4 linked regions of the Diceros bicornis minor genome follow. The protein of the gene in region 4 purifies or fractionates together with the protein of the main gene of each other region. This does not show direct contact. Links are inferred from orthologs where the notes say so. Each region holds a gene or a part of one and is shown on either strand. Other genes may lie near its edges. The genes, in order: CCNT2, RPL11, ZC3HAV1 and LARP7.

Region 1 (7,129 bases), on a different chromosome or scaffold from region 4:
GTAGGCTATATGATACTAATTTTACGGGACCACTGTCGGACATAGTCTGTCGTTGACCAAAACGTCATTGTGTGGCACAAGACTGCACTTTTTCAAAATATACCCCAGAAAAAAAAAAATCCCATCACCATCAGATTCCAAAGGACAACCATTCACAGCCATCCAAGCATTTCTCTTCCTTGTACAGTACCCTTCCCCACATTTTTGATCTCTCCTAAAAAGTAAGCCAGCTCTGATTCAACTCAATTTATATTACCCAACCAGAATACTTAAACCTATGTTCAAGGTAATTACTTAAGATTAACTTAATTAAAATAAATACCCACTTATTTTGTTTAACTTAGAGACTATTCTGAGGCTTTTTCCCAATCAAAATTGAACAAAAGTGAATGGAAGTTGCCATTTCTACACAACACTGCTCACAACCTAATAAAAAATTTAAAGTTTATTTTTGAAAAGTCAATACATGAACATGTTAGAAAAGTTCAAAACGATCAAATTCAACCTATGTCTCCCAGAAGGAACTAATTTTATCTGGTTTCTTTGTGTGTATTCTTGCAAAGATAGTCTATGATTATAAAAGTATTCAAATGTACATATTCCTTTGTTCATTTTACCCAAACAGTAGCATCTTGTTTTTTTTTCCTGCTTAATACCTTAGTGGTCATTCCACATGTAAGCTGCTGCCTTCTTTTTGTAACAGTCTATTTTAAGTTGATAACTTAAATATGGACACACTCTAAAGCTCTACATTTTACTCCCTCCTCCGTCACCACATTTTATGTTTTGGATGTCACAATTTACTTCTTTTTATCTTGTGTATCCATCAACAAATTATTGTAGTCATAGTTATTTTTACTACTCTTGTCTTCTAATCTTCATACTAGCTTTATAAGTGGTTAACCCACCACCTTTACAACATTAGATTATTCTGATTTTTACTACATATTTACTCTTACCAGTGAGATTTATACTTTTACATGTTTCCCTTTTACTAACTAGTGCCCTTTCATTTCAGCTTAAATAATTTCTTTTAACATTTCTTGTAAGGCTGGTCTAGTGGTGATGAACTCCTTTAGCTTTTATTTGTCTGGAACATTCTTTCTTTCTCCAATTTATGAAGGACAACTTTTTCAGATAGACTATTCTTGGTTGGCAGTTTTTTCTTTCAGCACTTTGATGCCTTCTTGTTTTTAATAGCTGAATAATATTTCATCACATAGACATACCATAATCATCCAATCCTCAATTCATGGACAGTCATGCTTCCAATCTTTTGCAATTATAAATTGCTACTGAGAATATCCTTATGACCTATGATGTGGAACATCTTTTCACATGCTTATTTGCCATCTGTATATCTTCTTTGTGAGATGTCTGTTCAAATCTTTTGCCTATTTTTAAATTGTATTCTTTGTTTTCTTCTTATTGAGTTTTAAGAGTTCTCTGCATATTTTGGATACAAGTCTTTTATCAGATATGTGTTTTGCAAAGATTTTCTTCTCGTATTTTCACTCTCTTAACAGTGTCTTCTGCAGAGCAGAGGTCTTTAATTTTTGCTTATGAAGTCCAACTTAATTTTTTCTTTCATAGATCATGCTGTTGCTGTTCTACCTAAAAACTCATTGCCAGACACAAGGTCACCTAGATTTTCTCCTATGTTATCTTCTAGAAGTTTTATAGTTTCGCATTTTACATTTAGGGCTATGATCCATTCACAGTTAATTTTTGTGAAAAGTGTAAGGTCTGTGTCTAGATTGTTTTTTGATTTTTTTTTTTGCATATGGGTGTCCAGTTGTTCTAGTACCATTAGTTGAAAAACTATCCTTTCTCAATTCAATTGCCTCTGCGCCTTTGTCAAAGATCAGTTGACTATATTTGTGCAGATCTGTTTCTGAGATCTCTATTCTGTCCCATTGATCTATTGTGTCTATTCATTTGCCAATATATGCTGTCGTTGCCAACACATACTGTAGCTTTGAGGTTAGGTAGTGTCAGTCTAATTTCTTTGGTACCATGTTGGCTATCTTGGGTCTTTTGCCTTTCCATATAAACTTTAGACTCAATTTGTCAATATCTATAAAACAACTTGCTAAAATTTTGATAGGGATTGCATTGAATCTGTAGATCAAATTGGGAAGAACTGACATCTAACCATATTGTTTTCTGATCCATGAACCCAAAATATCCTTCCATTTATATCTTCTTTGATTTCCTTAAACAGAGTTTCGTAGTTTTCTACATATAGATCCCGTATATATTTTAGATTCATACCTAAGTATTACTTTTTGTAAACGGTATTGTGTTAATTTCAATTGTACATTACTGATATATAGGAAAACAATTGACTCGTATATTAATCTTATGTCTTACAATCCTGCTATAATCACGTATTAGTTTTGGTTTTTTAATACTTGGAGATTTTCTACATAAACAATTGTCATCTGTGAACAAAGTTAGTTTTATTTCTTCCAGCCCTATCTGTTCACTTTTTGTTTCCTTTTCTTACTGCATTAGCAAGGAATTCCAGTACAATATTGAAAAGAATGGCGAGAAGGGACATCCTTGCCTTAGCAGGAAGGCTTCTAGTTTCTCACCATTAAGTATGATGCTAGCTGTAGGGTTTTTATAAATGTTCTTTATTAAGTAGAGGAAGTGCCTCTGTATTACTAAGTTGCTTCAAGTTTTTATTATGACAGTGTTGGAGGTAGACACTTTATAAACGTTGCTTTAAATCAATCTATCCTGGAACTTCCAAGCAGCATAAGATGTGAGGCAAGCAAGGTAGGTAAGAAATGAAGTTTAGACAGTTGTTCATAATAACTGCCTACTGCAACAAAATCAATATCTCAGTACTGTAGTGTAATGGGGACAGGCAGAGCCCCTAAACGATGACAAAAGCCTGGAGCTTTAATCAGGAACTCACTTAAAAGTAGTATCTGTTGCGTTTTTTTAAAAAAAAAAAAGTATGTCTGCCTATACTCTGTAGTCTTTGGCAAATAGTTAAAATTTAAAACTTAGTCGGCTCAGACCCAGAGACTGACTCCCAGAGTGGAGCTCTGCGGTATTTTCTTGCAGGGACGGGAGAAGGGGTTAATCAACAAGTGTGTGCGCGGTTACTGTATTAAATACTAAAGATAAATTTTTTACTCAGTTCCTCTTTACTATCTGCTTCTCCTTAACCTTCTCTTTTAAATCATAGCCTGGTTTAAAAACACACTACCGATAGGGACTAGAAATTCAGTTCTAGCTACTAATTGGGTAAGTAACCTTAACCTCTAGCAAGTAACCTTAACAAATAAACCCACGGTCTGCCCAGTTGTGGGATTCAAACATGATAACGTAGGAAAAAAGCACTTAAGTGCGGCACAAACATGGAACGTTCCTATGCACTCTTTCCCAGGAAGGTCCTTCCCAGAGCTGCCCGTTGGGCGGAGGCTGTTCCTCAAGGACACGGGAGCCGAAAACCACGACACTGCGCGGCGAACCAACAGCAGGGAAAAATGGAAGCTGTGGTGTGAGACAAAACAGGAAGGATTTTCTCTTTTTAAAGGGCCGCCAGACTCCCAGCCCAAGAACTCGCCCGGATTTCAGAGCCCACGCCCAACCCACGGCGCAGCCGCGTGCCCCCCTCTCGCGGGACCCGACCCCAGGCCAGCCTCTTCCCTCCTCTCCTCCCCGCCCCTTCGCCCCGCCAATCCTAGGTCCGGCATGCACCGCGCCGACCTTTTCCTTCCGAGACGACCCCCACCTTCGGCGCCTCCAAATGACAAACTGCGCGGGGCATTGTGGTCCCGTGCGCGAGAGCGACGCAGGGGTCCGGAAAAAGAAAGCAAAAGACTAGGGCGAGCCGGGAGGGCGTTCCCCCGCGCATGCGCATGGGCGGCGGCGGGGGTGAAAAGGGGCGGTGCGTCGTCTACGGCGAGCGGAGTGGGGCGGGGTCGTGCGGCCTTGGCGGGGAGTCCGCGAGCCGGGAGGGGAGGGGGGAGGGTGAGGGAGCGGGCGGAGGAGGAAGTGTCATGGCGTCGGGCCGTGGAGCTTCTTCTCGCTGGTTCTTTACTCGGGAACAGCTGGAGAACACGCCGAGCCGCCGCTGCGGAGTAGAGGCGGATAAAGAGCTCTCGTACCGCCAGCAGGCGGCCAACCTCATCCAGGACATGGGACAGCGTCTCAATGTGTATCCTTTCCTATTCTTGGCCCTCCTCCGCTCACGCCCTGTCCTCTTCACTACTCGCCCGGTCGCCGGGCCTGGTGCCCCGTGAACATGGCGCCGCCACCTCGGCCTTCCTGGGCTTTGGCCACGCCGTAAGGGAAGGCAGGCTCGGGCTCGGGAGGCCGCGAGCGGCCAGCGGAGGAGGGGAGGAGGAGAGGCGTCCGGGAATGCGGGCTGGGAGGCTGCGTTGTGTAATCTGTTTGGGGCCGCGCGTGGTGGCGGCGGGGGTTGGGAGTGCCGCCCAGGCGAGAGGGGGAATCTTAGGGATTATCGCAGAAGAGAGTCGGCTGCTTCGACTTCCCCTCGTCCGAGAAGGGGTTGAGAGGTAGGAGGGTTCGCGGTGCTGAAAGGCGTTAAGTGTGCTCCGCAGCCTTTCCCCGCGCTGCTCGCGGGTTTGATGGCGGTTCTCTTGTACCTTGGGAGCGCCCTGGACGGAGGGCTTTTATGTTCTTGGCGTGGTTTTGTATGGGTGTGCGCGCGCGCGTTGCAACTGTGTGATGTTGAGTTGAGTCAGTCGTAGCCATTGATAAAGCCTTCCTGGGCTCGCTTAATAGCAATATTAGAGTGGAATGCTCAGCAGTTACTATTATTACTGTTTGTTTGGCGTCGAGCCTTCTCTCTCCCTCGGCACCCTCCGTCACAGCCCTGCGGGTTTTCGGGGTTTGTTTTTGTTTTGTTTTGTTAACAGTTTTTGGTTTGGGTTTGAGTTGGAAGCATTGAAAAAAAACTGTAGGTTGGGAGTTTTCCATCAAAATTATTTTGGAAATGAGGTCTTGTTCTTCTCAGATATTTCCTAAATGATACGTTCCAGCTCTCAGCTTACAATAAACACTGCGATTGTTTATATGCACAGATTTTATATGCACCATTCTTTCACCAAATTCAATAGAAATGTAAGTACTATTTTATTGTCTGTTTTTACTACCACAAAATCTTAAGGTAAATCGATACGCAGAAAGAAGTTAGTTGATCATTGATTTTATTGTTGGATTTAGTGTTGTAAGTTAACAGTGAAGGTAATACGCATGATAAATTTTTTGATTCAAATGCGGGGTTGTTGGTTGGTTGGTTTATTAATTTGTGATGACAGGCTGCTAGGCGCTATGTTAGACTCTGCCAGGTCTTTTGAGCTAAAAGATAAAAGAAACGTTTCTCTACTCGGAATTATTACATCAGTGTTGATTTAAGTTTTTCATTTAAATTAATCAAACTTTTGAATAATTTCAAACTAATGTACAGTGTAATTTAGGCAAGCCTAGTCATTCTGTTGTGTATCTTAATCTTATTCGACTTAAATTGTTTCAAATATTGTGAATTGGGCTTAATTTAATTGCAGTATTCTTTTGAAATGACCCTTTGAAAGAGTTGAATGTTCAGCAGAAATATTTCATTTGCTAACACAATTTCTTAAGATGTCAGACGTTCCTGTTGATCACACTTCAGCATTAATTGTCTACTTAAATTTTTGGTGATTCAAATGTCAAATCTTGCCTCAAACATGCTATGTCAGAGTTTGAGTATGTATATATAGTTTTGAAGTAAAACTTACCCTCGAATACTAAGGTACTGATTTTGAACATAACCTGTAAATGTTGACATACTGAGTAGCGACGTTCAGTTGAAATTTTTATTTTAAGTTACGAAAGATGTAACTTTGTTCTTTTCACAGTAACATGCTGTAACATATTGTCTTGCATCTGTTAACAAAGAAAATTGTGTATTTAGAAATATTTAACCCCATCTTAATTCTCATTATATTTTTGGCTCTTTTTATCACAGCTATTTTTAGAATGCAATTCTGAAAGGTGTGTGTAGAAAAATAGACTGTGTAAGACTATGCTATTTGTGGATTGTCATTAGGACCTTTTTGCTAAGAAAACAGTCTTTGAGAAGGTCCTTGAAATATTTTCTTGGATTGGACGGAAAAGCTTCATGGTTTAGATTGATTCCTATTTTAATCTTTTCTGATCATAATTCTGATTTAGTTTATCAGATTAGCATGTAAGTTTGTCTTGAACAATATGTATTTTTGTATACGTTTTGGTCTCTTGTGATCTCCATTCCTTCTACTCTTTCTCTTTTAAATCTGTGTGGTTTTTGCTTTATTTCCATTTTCCTAGTTATTTCTTGTGCACAGAACTTAGGTCAATGATAGTGTTATGGAAGAGAGAGGAAGCCTTTTTGGTAATAACATTTAGATTGAAGGAATGAAATTTAAATTGTCTCCAAAGGAAGTAGTGAACTAATGGATACTAATATAAATGTGGCTTTCCCTAAGCAGCCCTTGAAAATGTTGGTCAAATCACAGGTCAGAATAGTTCTGGAAATTCTTGATGTGGGTACAGATGTCCCATTTACAGATGTCCCTGTAGAAAAGTAAGAATCAGGCTTACTTTTCTACTTCTGGTAAATGATCTCACCACAAAACTTCATTTTTGTTTTTGAACCCTCCCTCCTTCATAATTTGTCTCTATGGCCTGGTTGGTGTACTTTAAAACAAATTATCTTATTTTCAGCTAAAATTCACAGTTTTAACTTTAAATTGACTGGTGAAGCCCAGATTGCTTGGATTCTAACTTTCACTATTTTATTTAAATGCCATCATTCAATAAAAAAACCAGAATATTAATTTTTAATACCCTACTTAGTGTCTTATGTGTGTATGAAGGTCAACTTCACCATTTTACATTGAGTCATTATTAGGATAATTGAAATCTGCTGTTAATTTCTACTTTGAAAAGGAACCTTGTACCCTTCATATCTAACCTTTGTCGTCTTTACCTTTGCTACTATATCAAAAGTGGTTTTAATATTTGTGTTGATGCACTTGCATCAATTGCACAGCCTCACTCTTTTATCTTTTTTCTCCCTATTCTTTCAGGGTGAAGGGGGTGGTCTCAAATTGAATGTGAGTCA
Region 2 (7,565 bases), on a different chromosome or scaffold from region 4:
GAATAGTTTCCTTCATCTACCTTTAACCTTATCAGTGCTTCCTAGAGCTTAGACTGTAAGCTTCACAAAAGCAAGATCTTATCTACCTAGTTCAGTGCTGGATCCCTCCCTACACCTGCCACAAACAAGGCACATCTTCCCAAGGGGGAGAAGACAAAAGCAGACAACACTCAAAGCTTCAGTCCAACATTTGAACATCAAGATAGCACATATGAAATAAAGGCGATTCTACTGTCCTCACAGACCAGGAGTGGAAAAGACTGAATATTCATACCACGTAGAAGTCCAGGCCGTAGATACCAATGCTCGGGTCATATTTGATCCCCAGATCGATGTGTTCTTGAATTCCAAAACCAAAGTTTCCAGTATCTGAGAAGTTATTTTTTCTTAACTCATACTCTCGCACCTGAAGAGAAACATGCAGCCATCACACTCCTTGTCAACTCAAATTTCCCCCAAATAATTAGTTTAGCCTGCAACACTCAGCACCCAGAAATCTAATTCGACGCAACTGGGCCAGGAACAAAATCTGATTTCCCCAGTACACCAATCACATCCCAACTATGGATTTTATAGAACTCTCCCAACTTTCAAAGGGCAGGGAAAAACCCAGAGAAAGGATCAAATACAGGTTAACCCTGCTGAGTGCAGGAAAAGCCCTTCAGAACTTTAAAAAAAAAAAAAAAAATCAGACCACCAAAGACAGTACATTGTGTAACTACTGCCACTATAATTATCTACATGTGTTAAGCTGGCACTCCAGTATCACCCCACGATGGGATCAGCCTCACCTTTAGACCTTTCTCCAAGATTTCCTCTGCCTTGGCCCCACGGACTGTGCAGTGGACGGCAATCTTCTCATTTCTCCTGATGCCAAAGGATCTGACGGTGTATCTGGCTGCAGGGGGTAACAAGGAGTCAGGTGTTGTCACACTCCCACTGCACTCACCTCTTCCCCACAACATCATCCCCACAACTCCAAAGAGACATTAAGTATCAATCTACTCTAAATGGTGCTGTTCTAACCAGTGTCACCTACATCTGTTATACTGGTCTCATCTGTTTAACAGAGGAAAGTGATTTTCCAACCTCCAAGTCATTCAGCCATCCTCAAGCAATTAAGAGCTCCAAGTCACAATGTCTAAGTCTCAGGAACAGCAAGTTCACAACCAGAATAGGTCCCCAGAAAAAAAGATAACTGTGTTCTAAAGAAAACAAAACATTGGTAACAGCTAATATTTGCTAAAACCTTACTGTACCGTTATCCCCATTTTACAGATGAGATTGTGCGAGATTCACTTGCCCAAGATCAGAGTTGATAATAACTGGCAGGATCTGAACCCAAGAAACTTGTCATATTCCACTATCCTAAAACAATGAAACTTTTTTTGTGTGTGTGAGGAAGATCACAAACTGAGCTAACATCTGCCAATCCTCTCTTTTTGCTGAGGAAGACTGGCCCTGGGCTAACATCCGTACCCATCTTCCTCCACTTTATATGAAACGCCACCACAGCATGGCCCGACAAGCAGTGCGTCGGTGCGCGCCTGGGATCCGAACCCCGCGCCGCCGCAGCGGAGCGCGCGCACTTAACCGCTACACCACCGGGCCGGCCTCAATGAAACTTGAAAAACAAAAAAGTAACAAAACAATAACAACGCCTACATTGTGCTTGATATGTAGCAGGTATTTCATATACACTAACTCATTCCACAATTCTCTCCACAATGTTCTCCACAATCTTATAAAGCAAGCATCATCTTTCCTTTTGTGCAAGTATGCAGCTTAAGTCCACAGAGGCCAAAGTCACAGACGAGCAAGTGGTGGAGCCAGTATTTGAACCCAGTTAGTCAGGGTACACAGCCCTGCTCCTAACGCAGCCTGTGTAAGCCTAACTGCTTATCAGACCTAACACCATGCACTGCACTCCCACCATTTCCACTCCACCTCATCCCCCGTACCTGGAAAATCTTTACTTGGGCTAGTAAAATCTGGTATTCCAACGCCACACCCAATCTTGAAAAGATACTTCTGGGGTAGCTCAGGAAGGCAATGCTTTTAAAGGGTGCCGACTTTGACACTTTCAAAACGGACACTCAACAGGCTTGACAGCGAAGCAGTTAAGAAACACCCAGGCGGGCAGAGCGGCCAGTGCCCCCGCGCCGGCCCCCACTCACCCTTGGAGAACACCGGGGTCTGGCCGGTGAGCTGTTCCAGCACCTTGGCTGCCCGCGTCAGTCTGTCCCCACTCTCCCCCACGCAGATGTTGAGGCAGAGCTTGCGGATGCGAAGCTCCCGCATGGGGTTCTCCTTCTCACCTTGATCCTGCTGCAACAGGGAAGCGCAGGAGTCAACAACCTCAACCCCACCACCGCCAGCCCAGCATTTTCCTACACGGCCTACTGGCGTCTGCCCATCCCGAATCGCAACAAAGGCCGAGGAGTTAAGAACAAGGTACCACCGCGTCTGTCTGCGAGGCGTCAAGACGACAGCTCGGGATCTTGTTTCTCCTCCCCCACTGAAGGATGGGGGAGCAGAAACAGGACAGGCACCTGGACACTGAGGACGAACCCCAAGGGACTCAACGTGCAGGGTGACGGGAGCGCGCCTCGCAGAAGGCCGACGGGGGAGGGGGGCAGAAACAGCACGTAACTGCTCAGCAAGCACGTGGTGCGACGTCGCCCACCCCGTTCTAGGGCAGCTTGGCGGCGCCCTCCCGAAGCGGAGGAAGCGGCTGAGAGTCCCGCGCACCGCGCGCGTCTCCAGCCCGCGGGAACGGAAACAGGTCCGGGCCCCGTGTCCCACACCCCTCCGTGCGCTCCACTCGCCCTCGCTGCAGCCTACGAGCCGCGCTTCTGAGCCCGGCGGGCGGCGGCCCCGAGCCCGCTCCTAGGAGGGCGGGAGAAAGGACGACAGGGTCCAGGTCCGCGCCCTCAGGCCACATGGCTATGCCAGGTTCGGCACGGCCAGCACTGCGGAGTCCGTTGTCCTCGGGCCACGGGCTCCGCAGCCCCCGCGGGCTCGGCGGGCCGTGGATGGAAATGGATGAAGGGAAGCAAACCCCAGCCTCAGCTACTTACCGCCATGGTGGGAAACAGGAAGAGAAAGTGAAGCTTCCGGCCCAGGGCCTCATGGGCCAGGAGGCGGGCTTTTATCCCAAGCTCACCAGAGAGATGAGGGAGAGGAAGAGAGGCGCGTCTGGAGCAGCGCGGCGCCGGCGCCCCCGCGTGGATACTGCTAGCAACTGCAGGCGACGCAGCTGAAGACTGGGACCGGGGTTTTCCAAAAATAGTGTTTAAAGCTCCCTGAACTGGCATTTCCTCGAGCTTCCAGTGCCCATTGACGCCCTTCCCTCCCACAGTCTCAGGACTTGGTGGTTCTTGCGTGATGAAACAGGCAGAACTACATTAACTCAATTATGCAAACTATAAAGCAAAATAATTTATTCTGTAACAGTGTAAACAAATGGAACTTATACAGTTAGAACTGAGTGGTGGTTTAAGAATCCCGAGCTATGAAGACAGGCAGATGTGGTCCTGTCTTGGCTAGCTCATAGCTATGTGACCTGGGGCAGATTACTAATTAAACCTCTTTCAGCCGCAGTTTTCTTCATCTTTAAATTAGGTACTCATATCACATGAGATTGTTGTGAAAATTAAATGAGGTAATCATGTAGAGCACATAATAAGCCCACAATAAGTGGTTACTCTTGTTGTTAATATAAATGCACTCTATCCAAGCAACACCCCTCCCCACAAAATGTTACATATGGTATGTCATCAAGAGATGGTTATCCTGCAGGCACAAAGGTGGCTGGCAGATTAGTCTCTGACAGACAAGGACTCCAGTCTCGGACAACAATAGGGCTCTCTGGTTTGCACTAAATCCTCAGCAGCAGGACCCAAGGGAGTGCCAGGATCCGCATCCCAGGTAGAAGCCGGCCTTGAGTCAGCCAGTTCCTTTCACAGGAACAAATGGGAAAAGGAGAACATACAGGGCCTTGGTGGAAAAGGAGCCAAGCCGCTTCCTTCTGCTGCTGTAATCCCCTTCTCTTATCATCATAGGGGAGGCAGAAGCCCCCAGGCCCTCCCTGTAGGGACAAAAGGGCACTTCTGGGAAGCTAGGCTGATGGAGGAGGGCGAAGACAAAAGACCCCTCCTTTGAGCCTCCTCCATAGAGCACCACCAGCTAGCCTAGAGCTGGGCCCCCAGCCAGACCTCTGGGAAGGCCAGACCCAACAGAGGAGCTGCTTCAAAACTTGTGCTAAAGAGATAAGACAATTGAATGCAACACATGATCCTGGATTTTCTTTTGCTATCAAGTATGTTATTGGGACAGGTCTGTAGACTTCAGAAATGTACCCATGTTAATTTAATGCCCTCATTCTGATTACTTGACCTTGGGTATATAAGAATGCCCTTGGGTTTAAAAAATACACATTCAGTATTGGGGGTAAACGGGCATTATGTCTGCAGCTTACTCTCAAATGGTTCAGAAAAAAAAATGTATATTTAGAGTGAAAAGGATAAAGCAAATGTGGTAAATTTAAGATTTGGGGAATCTAGGTGAAGGATACATGGGACTTCTTGCAATTTATCTGTAACTCTGAAATTGTCAAAGTGCAGAAAATAACCTGAGGGAAACACGTACCTACAAAGATATAACACAGAGCTCATTCTCCAAACTCAGTCTCATTCCCTTCCCTTCCCTAACTTTTCTCCGACAGAACTTCCTCAGGATAGCTCTCTCTTGGTTCCAGCGCCCACACCGTGTCAACTAGAGTAGCTAATTAATAGCTAGTTTATCATGTCCAGCAGGTCCTACTGGTTCACTTAATCTTCAACATCCCTGTGGAGGCAGATACTGTTACTGTTTTCCCGTTTTACGGCTGAGCAGACAAGGCTACACAGAAGTTTAGTGACTTTTATAGACACTGTTTAAATCAGGCAGTCTGAGACCAGAGCCCCAGTCCTGTTCTAGGAGCTGATGAACAAGGCCCGGGCCAAAGGTTTCCCCTCTACACCTCTTCCTCCCTGTGACCCCAGCTCTCTGCTGCTTGCACCAGTCAGGCCCCCAGAAGGCAGGCAGAGGGGCAGAAGCAGACCCAACACCCGACCTGTGTCCTCCTGGCTCAAGACGCCAAGGTCAGCAGAGGCAGAGGCAAAAAGACGTGCTGTACTTTATTCCCAGACCTCAAACTCATCCACAAAGGGAAACCTGCGTGAGCAGGGGCACATTTACGACAGTTCAGGCAAGAGAAGAGCAAGTCCAAGGCTTCTCCTTGACCCGCTCTTTCCCAGGTGTGGCTCCGTGTGGGCTGCCTGTGGCCTGCAGGGGCCCGAAGGAGCTGTCACCACTCACTTCCTGGCCGCTTTCACGGCTGACTTGGTGACTCTGCCACCAGACGCTGCTTTTTTCTCCACAGCCTTGATGACCCCGACAGCCACCGTCTGCCTCATGTCACGCACAGCGAAGCGACCTAGGACACAGGATGCGGAGAAACAAGTGGGGAACACTGCCAGGGCGTAAGCTATGGGACACCTGCACAGGAAGTCAAGTGAGCCATGTAAGTGATACTTTGAGATCTACTTATAGGCTCATTAATTCTCCCAACAGCTCTCTCAGTAAATCGCATTATTGTTCTCTCTTTTACAGATAAGAAAACTGAGGCACAGAAGTTGCAGGTCACCTGGTTTTAATGGTTGAAAACCCAGAAGTCTCACACCAGTGCTTATATTCTCAGCCACTTCACTGTCCTGCTTGCATAAATAAAGGTCACAGGAGAGCTTTGCTTCGGTGCACCCACCACCCTACTGTACTAATGCCCCCAGCCTCCAGGCAACCAGCACATTCTCTGTGCCCATTACAGCCCAGTGGATGGATCTCATTTACATTCAACTGTGAATCTGGCAGTTGCTTCTGGGGGTTCTTGAATGCTCCCCTAACTTCAAACTGTGGAGGGAAAGGCTTTGGCACCTGGCTTCAAGCCTCAGGATTTTTGGAAGGGATAGGAGGAACTAACCCAGCATTGCAAAATTCGTGTAGCAGCCTCTTTGGCCCACCTCTAAAATTAGCCTTTTGAAATTTACCTCCTTCCCCATTAACTGGGAGACCCTGAGGGCAGGGACTTGTTTATTTGTAAATATCTAACATCTAGCCCTTCATATAAGTGCCTACTCCCTATATATTTGAGTTCAGAACCATCTAGGTTAATGGTTGAAGCCCAGCCATGCATAGCTTACTTGGGTAATCTAAGAAACAGACCCCTACATTGCAGCCTTGACCAAGTAAGTCTATCAGGGCCTGAGCCTCTGGGTTTAATGGTCTCCGTGAATGGTTCTGGTAATCCACCAGGTTTGAAAGCTACTCAATAGAGAGAAGGAAGGAAAAAGAAAGTCCCTACTAATCTCTGCTCTATTCCCCTCCTCTCCGTCAGTGCTTCTCACACTGATGTGCATCCCAGTTACATGGGGTCTTGTTAAAACGCAGATCTGAGTTCAGCAGGTCTGGATGGAGCCTGAGATTCTGCATTCCTAACCCACTCCCAGGCGATGCCTGGTCCACGGACCACACTTTGAGTAGCAAGGCTCTAAAGTGGCCCCTGCCTTGCCGTGTGTCACTAGGCAAGCTGCTTTCCCTTTCTGGGCCCTGCTAACTTGGCACTCAGATCCTTCTGACCAGGTTCCACTACCTGGCTCAGGTGTGACACATTGGTCAACTGGCTCCCTGGAGCCAGGAGGAGGAAGGGGCAGCCCTGGCAGTCAGGTGCTGTTGGGCCTTACCAAGGGGTGGGAACTCGGAGAAGCTCTCCACGCACATGGGCTTGCCCGGGATCATCTGGACGATGGCCGAGTCCCCAGACTTCAGGGCTTTGGGGCTGTCTTCCAGCTTCTTGCCTGAGCGCCGGTCGATCTTCTCTCTCAGCTCTGCAAACTTGCAGGCGATGTGGGCTGTGTGGCAGTCCAGGACTGGCGAGTAGCCAGCTGCAATGCTGCCGGGATGGTTGAGAATGATCACCTGGAATGCAGGGTAGGATGGGGAGGGCATTGGCCAACCGTCCTTCAAAGGAGGTGGCCCTAACCAGCTAAGCCGTCAGGTGCCTTGGACACGCTGTAAATTATAGGGAACGAGTGAACATGTATAGGGTAGACCAAGTTCCATGCAAAGCAAATCTCATGCATCCCAATTTAATTTTCACAGCAGGGAGCCTGAGTAACTTACCTGAAATTTCATAGGAAGAGGCCGAGCTGAGCATGAGTAATACTAAAACCTACACACATAGATGTCATTACATGTACTGCTTCTCCCCGCCATTTAGAAAAATGGATTATAATAATAGCAGCTACCTAACTTGTTAAGCAGCCCCAGGACAGCTGTCTTATACGTCACCTCATTTAATGCTCCCAAGATCACTGCCAGGTAGCACCAGCCTCCACATGCATCTAAGAATGTGTCAGACACTGCATTAAGAAAGGGCTTCATATTCTAACTCTGGGCCAAGAAAACACCTGAGAGCTCCAAACATACAGATTCCCAGTTTCCACAGAGACCTATTGAATCAGAAC
Region 3 (8,155 bases), on a different chromosome or scaffold from region 4:
TGCACTTAACCACTATGCCAGGGGACCAGCCCCTAATTAATTAATTTAAAAAAATAAAAATAAAAGTAATGTAAGAGAAAAGAGAACTATAGAATAAACAGGAGAAATCCTATGTATGAATAATAGCACTAGAGAGGAAATTTTCTAAGTCCAGCAAAATGCAAACTGTCCTCAGGCAGAGAACAGTTTATCAAATTGAGCGGTAATCTCAAGATGGGTATCAATTGGTCAACAGATTCCATTAACATGTAACCTACAAAAAAGGTCCTTACATTCCCACACCGCCAAGTTTTAGAAGAGAAGGTTTTATAAGTTGCTAAGGGGAGACTATTTTAAAAACATACTTGGGGAAAAAAACCATTTTCTAGGCTTTCAGGCAAAAAAAAAAAAAATCTCCCAAGAGTCTTTATTATGAGGAAACAATGTACATTAATGGATCAAAAATTTCTAATTCTCAAATTCAAAAGTGATGTAAAAGGAAATTAAAAATGTGACTAGATTAGTAAATGTAAGAAATAAGAATTTATCACTTCACTAAAAAAAATTTAAAAATAAGACTTTAATGAATTCCCCAGAGGATCCATCCAAACTTGCACATACCAAATTATCCCTATATTATACACACTCTTAAAATATAGAAAAGTGGAGGTTAACAACCCAATTTATGAGTTTCAATGGTTTTGATGTTTCAAATCAGGCAAAAAAAAAATACCATAATAAAATTCATAAAACAAAAAACTTAGGTTTCTAAACATATTGTGTGTAAGAGATTGAAACAAAGTTTCTAAGTATATTGGATATGTAACATATCGAAACAATTATAGATTATGCCTGTGTAGGATTTTTCCTGAAAAACCACAAGTCAGATTATAAAACAATCAGGGAAATTTGAACACCAACTGGATACTAGATGATATTAAAATTGTAATTGTAAAAAAATGTGATCATCGTACTGCTGTTATGTTAATAAAATAGAGTTCTTATCCTCTAGAGATACTTAAGCATTTACAAAGCAAATGATCTCTGGAATTTGGTTTAAAATAACACTTTGGAGTTGGGGACAGGGATGGGAAGGGGCCAATAAATGAAACAAGATTGGCCACGGTTTTTGGAAACCGATGAAGTGAAATGATGGGTACATGAAGGTTCATCATTCTATTTCTCTACTTTAGTATATTTTGAATATATCCATAGTAAAAAATTAAAACATAGGAAGCATATGTATTTAAAACTAAAAGTCAACACTAGTTGGTGAATAATTTTTCATAACAGAACAGAAAAAGAGATAACAAAGCCTTCCACTTCTGTTGCTATTCAGTATAGTGAGCTAGAATGTTCCTTCCTTTTCTTTGTATCCTCCACCCTCCCCTCCTTTCCTCCTTCCTGATTTCATCTGTTGTTGTGACTTAGATGACTCCCTCTACACACATAATCCGAAACTCAGAAACAGACTTTCAGATTGGTGCCTCACAACATATTCAACAAATATTTTTTTAAATAACGGAGCATACTCAAGCACTTTTTAAAAATTTTACAGTTTTGCCCTAAACAAATACATTTAAAAAAAATATTAATCTCACCTACCTCATCCATTTAAATTACCTGTCTTTTGTATGTTTTATTACACATATATTGGGGGTAAGTAAAGTTTTTTGCTAACAAGTGCAGGATCAAAAGTTTGATGACCACCATTTTGGACACTAGGACACCACTTCAAGTTTGTGAAGGATGAAGAAGGGGTTGAGGGGACTGTCAGAGAGCCTGCCCTGGGGGAAACAAGATGAATTTGCTTCGTGTTGTCAGGATATTCAGGTACAGATGCTCCTTAGACCCTGGGAGATGAAGAACCTAGAGTCAGTAGGAAGATGTGGGCAGCGGATGTACATATGGAAGCCGTCTTTGTATATGTGACAGCTGAACCCAAGGGAGTGAGCTCTCTTAGGGAGAGACTTGGAAGACAGGTCAAAAGGCTTAACTCAAACCTTGGGATACACCTATATTTATCTGGCAAAAAAGAACAAGTGGCAACAGAAGCAGCTGCCTGAGAGGTAAGCTGCACTGTTTCCAAGTGGTCCCAAGAGCCCGTCAACGGTTCGGGCCACCGCAGTGACACCACGGGAAAGGAGCGCTGGGTGAGAACCATCCATCATTGGCAACTTTGAAGAGGACTCTCCTGGTCAGGGGCTGCGGACTAGCTTCAGATATCAGAAAAGTGATAACGAGAGGAATGGAGGGCCAAGCAGAGATCCCCGGCTCAGTGCGGTGGAGACGGATCCGGGTGCCGAACGCGGCTGGGGTGCTGGGAGGACCGCAACACGCCTAGGGACGAAGCTAACAGAGAGGGAAAGACTCAAGACTCCAGAGAGTAGAGGCATATTCCTTTGTTCCCAAACCTGCCTCCAAATTCTCTAGGCCCTGACTTGCCCAAAAGTACTTTATTCTCATGGGGGTGGGAGTTAAGCGTAGTCTTCACCCGGGCAATATCGCGTTAGCCATATTCGAGGAAAGGTCTAGAAGCATTGGAGGAAAGGGAACTGCCAAGAGTAGAAGCGCGGGCCTAGCAGGGGCTCTCCAAGGGGAGCAGAGAAGTGAGGAGCTGGAGGAAGAGGCTGTCGGGCGCGAGGTCCCCGCGAGGGCGCGCCCCTCGAGGAGCAGCAGTCGCGGCAGTCCTCCCAGACCGGGACCCCGGGAAGCCGCCCCTCCGTCTCAGCGCACTTACCGATCCGACTGCGAATAGTGGCACCGGTCCAGCAGGTTGAGCTTGCAGAGGTGCAGGTTTTCACAGGGTCTCTGGCAGAACTTGCGACGGCAGACCCGGGCTCGAGTGGTAGCCACCACTGACCGGGTGACCCCGGCCTTGCCGCCGGTCTCCAACACCACGAAGCGATCGGGCCCGGCCGCCTCCAGCACCTCGCAGAGCTGCGCCTCGCGGAGCGCGATCTCGTTGAGTAGCGCGTCCAGGGACATGCGGCCCCCGTGGGCGCACAAGATTTTGGTGATGAAGCAGCACACCTCCGGGTCCGCCATGGCGCTCTACGCTGGGCTGGCTGCGCCGCGGGGCTGCTCCGGGGAGAATCGAAACTTACAAGAGTCCCCGGGGGCGGGGGCGGGGGCGGGCGCGGGCGGTGCTCCGGCTGGGCGCGCCCGGGGCGAGCCAGCGCGCACTCTCCATCGCCGTTAGCTGAGCGCAGCGCTTTCGGTTTCACACTCGGCTCTGGGTCAAGAGGCCAGATCGCACCGACCCGGTCCCTGTGTCAGATTTAAAATCTATCGCGACGGCAACCGAATGGAATGAAAGCGAACAAGCGCGGGCAAATCTGCCCGCACCACCCGGACAGCTCCCTCTCAGTTCCAGGCTGCGCGGGGGTGAGGTGCCCCAGCTCAGCGCCGCGAGGATTCTTTCGAAGGAAGAGAAACTAAAAATGATCTCTGGGCGCTGGCAGAGTTTTTATAAACCAGCTGAAAGTGGCGAATGACGCGAGTCTTGGGAACCCCCTTGAGGAGCCCTCTTTCTCCACCCCACACATCCCCTGAACGAATAGACCTGAGTGCGCACTTGCTCCGTGCTGGGCGGTATTGGTGAATCTTCACAACAACTCCACGAGTTAGATATTATCCTCACTCTGTACTTGAGGAAGTAACGAGTAAACACGCACAGCCATCGAGCTGGAGCCCGGATGCTACCCGAGGTTCCCCAAATCTGGCCCCCAGACCCCAGATCGTGGTCCGTTTGGCCAGGACCAACGTACACTTTCTCCCATGCCCTCCTAAAGAACAGCGATTATTACTCTCCTTCCTTTTTGCCTTCTCACAAGCTTTCTGAAGAACCCCGTCTTGACACATTCTTGCCTGTGTCTATCACTAACAGCGGTGTCCCGGACACCGCTTAGTCCCTGGTGGCAAGTACTCACAGACGAGCAGGCTTAGACACATCCCAAGATTTTAGATAGGTTCTCTTTAGGTATTTGGACAAGACCTTTTCCCCCTGCGGGGACCCACGTAGGCCCCAAGAGTTGGTATAAAGATTATTTTAAAGTGAAAACATTTGAGCTACAGATGATGCAGAAAGAAATTTTATCTGAACTTCTCTTAATCTGCTAAAGCAGAGCCTCCAGAAAATACAGCTACCATTAACCCTTTTCCAAGAGAGTTTCCTGTTCATTCAGCTGCCTTGGAGACAGACTGCCCATTTCTATTAGCATCAAAAAGCCCAATAGAACCTTCCATACTCTCCCATTGAAGTCCTAAACCCCACTACCCCTTTTGTTAAATTGAGATATATAAAGTTACTTGGGGCTATTTCAGGAGTTTTCCATTACTGGAACCTCCCCCCTCCCAATGTGTGAACAAATCTTGTCTTTTCTCCTGTTAATCTGTCTATTGTCAGTTAATTTGCAGGCCTCCAATCACTGGACCCAAATTGGAAGAGGAAAAAGTTGGAAGTTGGAAGAGTGTTTTTCCTCCCAACACTCCCAGGTAAAAGAAGTGCGTCACTGATCAGATAAGAAATAAACCTTTTTTTTTTTTTTTAAAGATTTTATTTATTTCATTTTTTCCCCCCAAAGCCCCAGTAGATAGTTGTATGTCACAGCTGCACATCCTTCTAGTTGCTGTATGTGGGACTCAGCCCCAGGATGGACAGAGAAGTGGTGCCTCGATGCGCAACCGGGATCCGAACCGGGGCCACCAGCATCGCAGCGCGCGCACTTAACCACCAAGCCACAGGGCTGGCCCAGAGATAAACCTTTTTTAAAAATGATAGAATTTGGTTGTCAAACTAGAAATTCTTCAAAATGACTAATGGGAATTCTCCTGTTTGGTAATTCGAGGTAGATGAACTGTTGGCTCGGGAATAGAGTACTTTAGTAATGAACACCAGCCAAACGTGGGGCCTGCACAGGATCATCTGACTTCTTGTTCCCTCTAGCAATTTCTTCTACAGTTGCCTTTTTTTTTTTTTTTTGGTGAGGAAGATCAGCCCTGAGCTAACATCCATGCCAATCCTCCTCTTTTTGCTGAGGAAGACGAGCTCTGAGGTAACATCTATTGCCAATCCTCCTCCTTTTTCTCCCCCCAAAGCCCCAGTAGATAGTTGTATGTCATAGTTGCACATCCTTCTAGTTGCCGTATGTGGGACTTGGCCTCAGAATGGCCGGAGAAGCGGTGTGTAGGTGTGCGCAGGGATCTGAACCCAGCGCCGCCAGCAGCGGCGCTGGGGCACTTAATGGCTAAGCCAGGGGGCTGGCCCCTATAGTTACCTTTCAATTCACTTGGCCTTATTTGTGGTCTGACAGGTTCCCAGGGACTGAGCTTTTGTTGTCTAATCGATTAAATTCAGCATAGTATCTTCTGCGTGGCCTTTATGGTAGTTACGCTGAACATGTCGAAATTTAAGAAATAGTCCCTGTACTCAAGGAGCTTGTGTTTGGGAAGACATGAAAAAACATTAAAACATAAGGAAATCAGGGGTTAAATGCTGCAATGGGTATATAGGAGATTGGAAAAGGAGTACGGTTTGGTTAGAGTGGTTAGGAATAGAGATATAAAATCCCCTCAATTCGAGGCCATGAAAAACGATGCAAGGGGTTGTGGGAAGGGAAAAAGCAGACATTTTGGGAAATTTTAAAATTTGTATCGTCACAGGTTGGGTTCTCCAGGAAGCAGATACTGATATGGAGTTAAGGATACAGAAGATTTCCGGGGATGTAACACCAGAGAAAGTCAAGGAAAGAAGCAGGATTGATCTGTGGGAGCTGTCAGGCGGCGATGTAGACCTGACAGTCTCTGCCAGCCCGACAGGGAGCAAGTCTAGCCTTGGGCAGAAAGGCCTAGGCCCTTGTACCCTGCCTTGCTTCGTCATTGGCGGGGGCCATGAAGAAATGTGTGACTTCAGCTGAAACACTGGGACGGATCCTGAAGGAGCTAAAGCTGGAGACTATCAGCTAAACATACTCCTTGCAGCTGGGCAGCAAGCCCTGGCTTGAAGGAGGATCTGAGTAACCCATTATGTCTGCTATCGTGCACCCTTTGTGCCACATGGATCTATTTCCCCATCAGTATTCAGGGAACAGCTCCTTCAGGGCTCTGATGGGCCCTGCTCTTCCTGAAAGAAAACTTAGAGAAGTTAATAGGATGAACTATAGCCCCTGTCACTGCAATTGGTTGCAAGATCACAGCTGGTCCTCATCATATCTGTCCACCACTATCCATTCTAATTCCCCTCACCCTCGGCTACCACCTCACCTGGTCTCAGTAGCTTACCTGAGTGGGCACCCTAAATCCTCATTCCTAAGGGGTCTGAGCATCATCTCAGACCAGGCTTTCTGCTCTTATGTCTATTCACAGTCACAGTTGGGCAAAAGAGTACCAACTGGCACCCAAATAGGTCACCAGAGTCCGTACATATTCCTCCCCAGTCCCTGTCTAACAGCGGCCCTATCTCCTCCTGCTGACCAAGTCAGTTACCTCTGATAATACGGCGTTCCCTTGCCTTACCTGCTAGTCTCTGACCATTAGGAAGCCAAAGTGCCTGGTGGCAGCCATAAGTTGTAGTCCAGTGGGATCTTTGCTGTGTCCCCAGGCAAAAATGTGCTCCTTTTGGAGACCAAGACCTCTAACTCTGCAAAGCCCAGAGTTGTGGGGACAGGGAAGCCCAGTGGGTCATTGGAATGATGCTAAGGGGGCCACTCATGCTTCCGCCCATTGTTTCAAGACTCACGTACTCTTTCTGTTGGGGACACAGCACCATAATCAGACACTAAGTTGTCTGATTGAAGTCATATCCCTTGATGTCCTGGAGGAGATGTCATCACTGCAGTGTATTGCCTTCATGCTGGATCTTGAGCTGCATCTTTAACTGGCCATTCCAATATTTGTCTATCCAGTAGCTTCTGGGTCGTGAGGTGTGTGATATGACCAGCGGATCCCATGTTCATGGGCCCACTCCCCCATTTCCTGTGCCACGAAGAGAGTCCTCTGTTAGGATGCTATGTTATGTGGGATTCCATGTCTGTGGATCAGGCGATCTTTAAGTCCCTAGAGATTGGTGCTATGGAGGTCCTGCAGGCAGGAAAGGCAACCCCATACCTGGAATCTGTCTATTCCAGTGAGAGCAAACTGCTGGCCCTTCCAGGACAAAAGGAGCCCAGTGTAGTCACCTGGTCACCAAGTAGCCTATTGGTCTCCTTAAGGAATAGAGCTTAGCATCGGTCATTATGGCTGGTAGATTGGACATTCAGAGGTGGTAGTACCTATATTCGTTTTGGTAAATGATAGTCCATGCATTGCCTCCATCTCTGTCACCATAGCCTCTTTGTTCAGTTACCCATCATGCAGCAATGAGGGGAAAGGGGTCTGTGACAAAGGCTGGCTACATTAACAAGTGAGAGCTATCACAGTAGGGAAGGATCACAAGGATGCAATGGAGGGTTAGCCTGATTTCCAAGTATGTCAATGCCAACTATACATTTTGGGGTTAGAGGAATGACAACCAGTGGGTTCATGGACCCAGGGGACCCATTGTAAGCTCAACCTCAATCAGGCCTCCATTTGCTCCCACTCTAACATGGGAGCCACGAAGATGCTTCAGGTGGCAGAGTATTGGTGACCTCTGACCTTGTGCCCAACAGTCATCAAAATGTCTGGGTACTCTCTTCTGTCATCCACGTAAATGTTGTAGATCTCCCTGGGGAAGGATTGGAGGAACAATTCTAGCTCATTCTTGCCATCATGTTGCAGGTCCTTCTCCCTGAGGACCTGGCCACCTCTTCAGTCACTGGGTTCTGAGTCCGAACACTGGTTCAGGTACAGAAAGCGGGCCAGGAATTGTGACTTTTTATTGGGGTGACCATCCTCCTCATTGTCCTGTTTATTAATTCTTGTTCTTTTTAGATTACACATGTTAAACAGTATTTTGTGTGCTACCCATCTATTTTCCTCCTAGGGAAACTCTGTTCTATTCACAATCCCTACAGCTCTTTACAGGTCAGGCCCCCTGGCTGCCACTCTGACTTAGTCATTACAAGCCCTGGCTTCTGCAGGAAAGGGCCATCACATGGTGTCTATTGCATCAGGGCCTATCATCCCCATTGCTATTACTGAGCCAGGTTCCAGGACAGCCCCTCCTTCCATCAGTTATGTCCTGCAGGGGAAGCAC
Region 4 (7,936 bases):
AGGTGTTTTTTTTATTTTGTTTTGTTCTGTTTTGTTTTTGGCTAAATCTGGCAACCCTAGCAAGACATTTATGAAATGCGGAAAGAAGGAAGGAAGGAAGAAAAGAGGAAATAAGCAAAAACTGGAAAGACTTACAATAAATTCTCGGCTCTCCATTGTTTCTTCTGAACTTATAAACCAGTCAGGTCCAGAAAATAATCAGTAGTTATTCAACTATTTATGCTACCTAAAATGAAAAATGACAAGGACTATTCAACCCCTACGAAAAGAATAAATATCAAATACAATTTTTCCCCACAAACTTTTTTTTTTCCGTAAGGAAGAGTCGCCCTAAGCTAACATCTATTGCCAATCTTCCTCTTTTCACGTGAGGAAGATGCACCCTGAACTAACATCTATGCCAGTCCTCCTCTATTTTGTATGTGGGTAGCTGCCACAGAATGGCCGCTGACAAGCGGTATAGGTCCGCACCCAGGAACCAAACCCGGACCACTGAAGAGAGTGGCACTGAACTTAACCACTAGGACACGGGGCCAGCCCCCCCCAACAAACTCTTGACCAGAGAGAGGAATCTAAGAGTTCCAAGTTCCATGTAACCAAGGGAAACAGAGGTATAATGAAATTATCTGCCCCCGAGGACATATGAAAAGAGTGACACCACACTGTGGAAAAAGAATTTGCTAGGTAGAGAAAACCAAGTAAAATATACAAAATAATTAGCACTCGCAAGCATTTTTCCAAGTGCCATAATATATATCAGAAAATATGATTCCCCCTCCCCTCCATGTTTGGTTCCTTATAGAAAGAGCTTCAATTTTTAAAGTTTTTTGAATTGCTATGGCCACCACAAGATGGCCCCCTTGCGTTTTAAATTTTTCCTTTTACATCTTAGAGTCAATATACCACAGTATCTAGGACCAAATATACATTATAATACTTCCGCAAGGAAAAATCTCTTCAACATCGTTGCCATGAGTACTGTAGTTATCCTATGCCATTGGATAAAATTGTTATTGTGGGGGCCGCCACCGTGGCTTAGCGGTTAAGAGTGTGCTCTGCTACTGGCGGCCCAGGTTCGGATCCCCGGCGGGCACCAACGCACTGCTTCTCCGGCCATGCTGAGGCCGCATCCCACATACAGCAACTAGAAGGATGTGCAACTATGACATACAACTACCTACTGGGGCTTTGGGGAATAAAAAAAAAGGAGGAGGATTGGCAATAGATGTTAACTCAGAGCCGGTCTTCCTCAGCAAAAAGAGGAGGATTAGCATGGATGTTAGCTCAGGGCTGATCTTCCTCACACACACAAAAAAAATTGTTATTGTGGGCAATTTTGGAAATCTAAAATCACTGATGGTGACTTGAAGAAGTAAACAGAAATACCAAAGGAAATTATTACTTTATCCCTAAAGAAGTGGTTCCAAAGGTATGATCCCTGCACCAACAGCATCAGCATCACCTGGGAACTAGTTAGAAATTCAAATTCTTGGGTCCCACCCCTGACCTATTAAATCAGGGCTAGTAGTCTGTTTTAACAAGCCTTGTAGGTGACAGGGATACACGCTCGAGTTTGAGAAGATGGCCCTAAAAGACCTGGGGGATTCAATAAAGCTATAATTTGCAGTTCTGGATTCAATTTCTCCTTGATACATATAAAATATATAAAATAGGCTACCTACATATTATATATAAATTACAAATATTTATTTAGTACTTACTATGTGCCAGACATTGTGCTAGGCTGAAATACTAAAATGAACGAAATATTATCCCTAATCTCAAGGAATTTTCAGTATAGCAGGGTGATAAACAGTAATTACAATAAAATATGACAGGAATAAGCACAGGAGGGGCACCCAACTCGGTCTAGGGCATTCCTGAAGGATGTAATGTTTGAGCTGGACACTGAAATAACCATTAACCAAGGGAAGATGCCAGGGAATTATTTCCAAATATGAGTCAATATGTACAAAGGCCTGTGGAAGACAGAGCAAGGCGTGATCAAGAAACTCTCAGTAGTACGGCTAAGAGGTTGAGTGTAACGTAGTGAGACAGGAGACTGAAAAAGTGAGCAATAACAGGATTCAGAGGGCCTTCTATGTTAGGCTGAGTTGTCTGGACTTTCTACAAAGACAGTAGGAAGCCACGGCAAGATGTTAAGAATGAGATTACATTATCTGACTTGGGGTTTTACAAAGATTGCTCCAGCTGCTGTGTGGAGAAAGGATGGGGTAAGAAGTAGGCAAATGAGATATGAATTAATGCCCCACAACATAGTTCACAGGACAGGACCCAGACCTACAGAGGCACTGCCTTTCAGAAATATAACTCCCATATCCTATATCCCTCCCCTCCAGCCCACAGAAATTGTCAGACGCCTAATGAATGCCAAGAAGATAACAGAGAGGTCCAGAGAAACACACCATTCACTGCTGCTTTTAAAGCAACTTGCTCCCAGCCACTGAACGGGTTGGACATCCTATGTATGTAGATGAGACTACATGGTGTAGACACAGTGCTGGGCATGTGGCAGTTATTAATCTTAGATCCCTTTAACAATAGCTATCATTTATTCTGTGCAATTATATGCTAGACAGTGTTAAAATGCTGCAAACGCTCACAACCTTATGGTATAGATACTATTTTTCATATTCATTTTACAAAGAAGAAAACTAAGGCACGTAATAGGTAAGTAAGTTGCCCAAGATCATAAAGTAAACAAATGGAAGATTCAGAATTCAAAACTAAGCAGCCTAAACTCTGATGCTCATACTCACAAATAGTACATTATACGACAATTTATTGAGTACCTACTATGTCAGGCAGGAATTGGGACTAGATACTTCACATATAATATTCATCAGTCTCATAATCCTGAAGAGTAGATATTATCACCACAATTTACAGATTAGGAATCCAGTATTTATTAGTTTAGAATTACTTATATGCTACTTAGGAATTGCAAAATAAATTCCCCATTGTTTTCCTAAATTAGAGATATTACTTGTGGGATTTACTTAAAAGGAACTGAGAAGGTCCAAACTCTCATAAATGGTAAATTAGATTATAGGATTAAACCTCAAAAAAAAAAAAAAAGGTTAGCTGGATTTAGAAGAGCCCTAATTTCCACTTTCAAAGGAAAGTCAACACTCCTTTCTTACAACTAAACAGGAAAAATGGTTTTAGCCAACAGCATCATATATTTAAGTGAGGTGCAAGGATAAAACATTTTCTGAAAGTCTTCATCTGTCCACATCTGTCAAACAATTCAAGTACTGACCCATCTCTGCAGGGTGAGTTTAGTGCCCAAAGAAGTTTTTAAAGTGGTGTGGAGATGCTCTGTGGCAATGATATAAGTACAGACATACATAAATGCCTACACACACATATATACACATACATTATTATGCTGCTTTATACATTTATATATAAAATTCGGTGCTTTCACTAAACTAGGAGCCATTCTTCCTGTTACGTATGACGAGATGTTTTTGGTCCTTTTGTTTTGGAACAAGCAGGATCTCTCGAATCCCAAAATGGTTCACAGATTTAAAAGCTGCAGAGGCACGGACCCAACACCGTGTTAGAAAACCATTCAGTCCAAATAACCAAAGAAGAAGCCCACACTTCATCTGCCAAGATTCTAACTACCAGGATCCTGTGTAACCAAATGACAGTGAAGACTTGACCCTTTGTCAGTCCTGAAAACAAGGAGCAAAACCCTCTCTGGTCCTCACCCGTACGCGGGAACGGCAGAGCAGGGGCTGGGAAGAGCCGTGAGGACGCGGAACCAGCTATGACAGGGAGTCCGACCAAGCCGTGACTGTCACCACCCAATCCTGGCTCCACACAGCACCCTCCGGTCCGCTTCCGGCCGAGCAGATTCTCTGGTCCCCTCGCCCCAAATCAGCTTCGCCGCCTGTCGCTCAAATCCCGGCGCCTACCCACCCTCACGCCCCGGAAACCCCGGGAATCAGTTCACTTCACCGTCCATTGCACGAAATCCACTTTCGAATTTTTCCCGCGAAAGGCTGTGACGTCATTAGCCCGGGACCGCACCAGACCAGGACCCCATACTTAGCCCGCCCACCAGAGCCCTCGTCAGAACCGCCGTTCTCAAACCGCCAATCAAATTCTTCCCTAGCTGCGAGCCTCCTTGGGCGGGCGCGTTCTGCGATGCCCCGCCCCCCGAGGCAGCCCACGCCTGTGACGTAAGAGACGGCGCGCCGCCCCTGGGCCCGTCTTCTGCGACGGGAAGCGGAGAACGGTGTCGCTCCTCTTATGACGCAGAGACGACCAGGACCGTAAGGATCGGGAGACGGAAAGAGCTCAAGGACGCAGTCTCTGGCCCTGTATTTTGGGGGCTGAACGGAGTAAGTTCAAGTGGGCCATAGGGTTGCCCAGGTCGGGTGAGGTCTAAATTCCCCTCAGTCCTTTTTCATGCAGTCCATTCTATCCTCTGTAGGCCCTCTCACCCCGCCCCCTCCAACTCACCCGTCAGTTGGCGTGCCCTGGTTCTCTGTGCGCACGCGCAGAAGGCCTCTGGCAGCCCTTGTAGTTCCAGTTGTCAGCGATTGGGGGCGCGCGTTGTCCGGCGCTGGAAGTTTGGGGTCCGCCCCGCCCTGGCGGCGTCCGTGCGGAGGGACGGGTGCTGAGAGGGGCAGAAGTCAAAATGGAAGTAGCCTTGCTTCGCAGCTTTGCCGCTTGGTGGCCAAAGAATAGCGAATGTGAGGACTTGTGTTTTAAAATGAAATCATTTCCTTCTTCAGGACTCTAGTGTTTGTCAGCAAAGAGTTGAAAGTCCAGTTGTGGAAGGGAGCTAACAAATAAGTGCTAAATACGGTGTACGGAGTGCGTCAATAGCCGTGCTTCAGGGAAGCGGATGAGGAGGCGGTTAATCGGGGGAGATGCGGTGGAAGGCTCCGGAGAGGAAGAGGCCGTGAGCCGGGGCCTTGAGATTGAGTGGGGTTTATAAGGCAAGGCAGACAGGAGTCGTTCAGAGCAAACGCACAGAGGGGCGAAAGCGTTCGGGTACCTTTGCATAGGTGGCTGTGACTGGAGCAGTGGTTCTTAACCTTCTTGGCACACCATTTCTTTTAAAAACGTGATAAAAGCTGTGGCTGAGCCTCCCCGGAAAATGCTGGTACATGTCAAAACATTTTGCATATAATTTTGTTAGGAAAAATTGTGAAAGACTTTGAAATGGCCAAGAAAAAAAACTACTGGGTGTCTTGGGTAGCTCCCTCTTCCAGGTTATCTCTGCCTGTCGTTGTCATTGAGTTATTTCACAATTGTGTCAGTTGTAGCCAACGATAATAATGGAAATTAGTCTTGCAGTTATTTTTGCCATTGTTGCCCTGACCGGTTGTGCGTTTATTAACAAATTCATTTCGCCGTTCCTGATAGCTTATATTTGTGTGTCTGGTTTTTTAATTCTCCTGTGAACTGATTTTTAACACTTAGCTAGTTCCCTAATGAATTACTTAAATAAGATTTTTGACATGTATTCATTTTATATTTATACAATAGTCGTGATTTTACTTTTCCTTTAAAATTTATCTTTTAACAATTTCATGGGATTCACAAGAATTCTTGAAACCCACCCAAAATTCCATGGACTTCAGGTTAAGAATTCCTGAGTCAGAACATAGAATGCGTGGTGACAGTTTGCAAGAGGTTCTACCGAAAGGTAGGCAACGTGGGAGTCACACATACCTGAGCTTCCTTACCCAGCCAGCTTTGCTCAAGTCACTTAACCTTTGACCCTCTATAAAAAGAAGTTGGAAGAAACAACCTAGTGGGCTTGTGAGGATTTCAAGCAAGGTATATAAAGTGACTGACATTGTTACACAGTAACTTGTTTTCTGTGTTTAAAAGCTCTGTTTAGAAGCTAGTTAGACTTCACTGGTTCATTTAACAGTTTTTTAAAAATACATATTATGTTACAAGAAGGGGCTGGGAATGTTTAGTGTTGAAAGTTTTGACATCACAGTCGCAAAATTAAATCTGTCTTGTAGACAAGTTGCACAGCTTTTGTGAAGGATGGAGGACTTCTAGAATAGTTTATAAACTGTTCTAAACTGACTGGTAAATGATAAAATGATAATAATGGTTACATAAATATTTTTTAAGATTGCAAATTGCTGATATGTGTTATGCACACTAGGTAAGAGTTTCTGAAGTTACTTCCCCAAGCCACAAAAATAATCCCTAGGAGAAGGAATGAAGGAGAATCTCTGGACTGAGATATGAGAATCCTGGGAGTAGTCTGGTTTCTAGGAGAACTGTGCTGTTCTGTGCTTATGCAGGTCTGTCCGCTACTTCTTTAGGTGGTATTTTCTGACAAGGAAAAGAATTGGAGAGCTGGTAGTCTGCCGTTTATAATCTGGTGTTTTCAGAAGGGAAAGTTAGCAGTGGACCCTGCTGTAGTGATAATCGTAGGCCACATTTGTATTTTGTTTATAATTCTACCCTCTTACAAAAGAACTTGAAATGCTTAACACTTTATAGTTTATAAGATCCTTTTAAATACATTATTTATTTAATTCACCAAATGCCTGGGTCGTGACAAGCTAAAGTTCCTGTCCTCATAGTGTTTACTTTCTAGTGAAGTAGACAGACAGTAAAACTGTAATTCTGGGTAATGATGAGAGAATACAAGGATAGAAAGTGGTGACTGGAGGAGTGGGTAGGGGTAAGGTTGGCAGGGAGGAAATATTTTAGGTTGGGTAGAAAAGAAAGGCTCGTAGAGAAAATGACATTTTCAAAGACCTGAATGAACAAGAACATAATCCCTATAGATGCTGCAGGAAAGGTAAAGACAGTGGCGAGAGCAAAGGCCTGGAGATGGGAAGGCCTTAGCGTGTTTTAAGGAACAGAAAGATGGGGCGTTGTAGTTGGAGTGCTCGTGCCGGAAAGAATTTTAAGAGATGAAGTTAGGGAGATATCCCGAGGCCAGATTGAATAGGGCCTAGTAGCCCACAGTAAGAATTTTATTCTGAGGGTGCTAAGAAACCTTTGAAGGATTTTGTGCAAGAGATTGCCATGTTCTGATTTACATATTTAAATTATTATTCTGGCTGCTATCTGGAGAAATGATAATGGAACAAGAGTATAAACTAGTATACATGAGGATGCTCTTGCAGTAGTTCGGGCAAGACACAGAGCTCGGACCAGGTGGTTGTGATGGAAGAAATGAGAAGTATTCCTATTCAAGATATGTTGTATAAAGTCAGAGCTCATAGAAATGCTAATGAATTGGCTGTAGGGTGTGAGGAAAAGAAGAATTAAGGAGGATTTCAAGGTTTTTGCCCTCTCGGCAATTTTTTAATTGGTATTTTCGCAGATCAGGAAAACTAGGCAAAAAAAGGTCTGTTAAAATTTGAGAGTTTAATGTTTGCCATTTTAAACTTGAGATTTACTTTAGGTGAACAAATGGAGCTGTCAAATGGACAGTCGAATATTGGAATGGGGAGCTACTGAGAGAAGTCGGGGCTGGAGAACGTAGATGGGTGACACATCAGCGTGGAGCCGAGGAGCTGAAAGCCAGGGACCCTCAGCAAGGATGGGTGTGTCGATAAGAAGGGCGCCCAGGGCTGAATGCAATCCTAGGCAGCATGTGAAGGTAGAGCAGAGTAGGAGGGTCCCGAAAAAGAAATTGAGAAGGAGGAAAACTCTCCTGGAAGCCAGGTGAAGAAAAATGTTTTCCAGGAAGGAGTTATCAACTGCAGATGCTGCTGAGAGGTCAAGCAGCTGGGGGAGATCTTTGTTTTCAGTGTCACTGGAATGGCGGGAAGGGAAGCCTGACAGGATGCGTTGAAGTGAGAGTATGAGGTGAGGAACGCGATTACTCAGCATTAAGTGACACCTGCTTCTTCTTCTACTGATTACTTCTGGTGTGGACACCCATTTTTTGTGTAATGCTAGCATCATC

Evidence for each region.
Region 1: the proteins of LARP7 (region 4) and CCNT2 purify together in Homo sapiens (co-immunoprecipitation; 3 studies listed by BioGRID and IntAct, with this or other methods). This does not show direct contact. The link is inferred for Diceros bicornis minor from reciprocal best matches to the Homo sapiens genes LARP7 and CCNT2.
Region 2: the proteins of LARP7 (region 4) and RPL11 purify together in Homo sapiens (affinity purification with mass spectrometry; 3 studies listed by BioGRID and IntAct, with this or other methods). This does not show direct contact. The link is inferred for Diceros bicornis minor from reciprocal best matches to the Homo sapiens genes LARP7 and RPL11.
Region 3: the proteins of LARP7 (region 4) and ZC3HAV1 purify together in Homo sapiens (affinity purification with mass spectrometry; 3 studies listed by BioGRID and IntAct, with this or other methods). This does not show direct contact. The link is inferred for Diceros bicornis minor from reciprocal best matches to the Homo sapiens genes LARP7 and ZC3HAV1.

What each region holds. Positions count from the first base shown.
Region 1 is NC_080749.1:20,538,141-20,545,269, forward strand, and holds the start of CCNT2 (cyclin-T2), read left to right. Parts: upstream 1-3,995; 5' UTR 3,996-4,019; coding exon 4,020-4,177; intron 4,178-5,024; coding exon 5,025-5,106; intron 5,107-7,129. UniProt on the Homo sapiens protein: Regulatory subunit of the cyclin-dependent kinase pair (CDK9/cyclin T) complex, also called positive transcription elongation factor B (P-TEFB), which is proposed to facilitate the transition from abortive to production elongation by phosphorylating the CTD (carboxy-terminal domain) of the large subunit of RNA polymerase II (RNAP II).
Region 2 is NC_080752.1:40,127,255-40,134,819, reverse strand, and holds the start of RPL11 (large ribosomal subunit protein uL5), read right to left. Parts: upstream 3,102-7,565; 5' UTR 3,087-3,101; coding exon 3,081-3,086; intron 2,329-3,080; coding exon 2,178-2,328; intron 899-2,177; coding exon 792-898; intron 407-791; coding exon 275-406; intron 1-274. Other genes in the region: elongation factor 1-alpha, somatic form-like, read right to left, coding at 5,358-5,479, 6,783-7,017.
Region 3 is NC_080742.1:86,916,917-86,925,071, forward strand, and holds the start of ZC3HAV1 (zinc finger CCCH-type antiviral protein 1), read right to left. Parts: upstream 3,090-8,155; 5' UTR 3,028-3,089; coding exon 2,720-3,027; intron 1-2,719.
Region 4 is NC_080750.1:7,542,184-7,550,119, forward strand, and holds the start of LARP7 (la-related protein 7), read left to right. Parts: upstream 1-4,745; 5' UTR 4,746-5,140; coding exon 5,141-5,146; intron 5,147-7,936. Other genes in the region: protein ZGRF1, read right to left, coding at 136-156. UniProt on the Homo sapiens protein: RNA-binding protein that specifically binds distinct small nuclear RNA (snRNAs) and regulates their processing and function.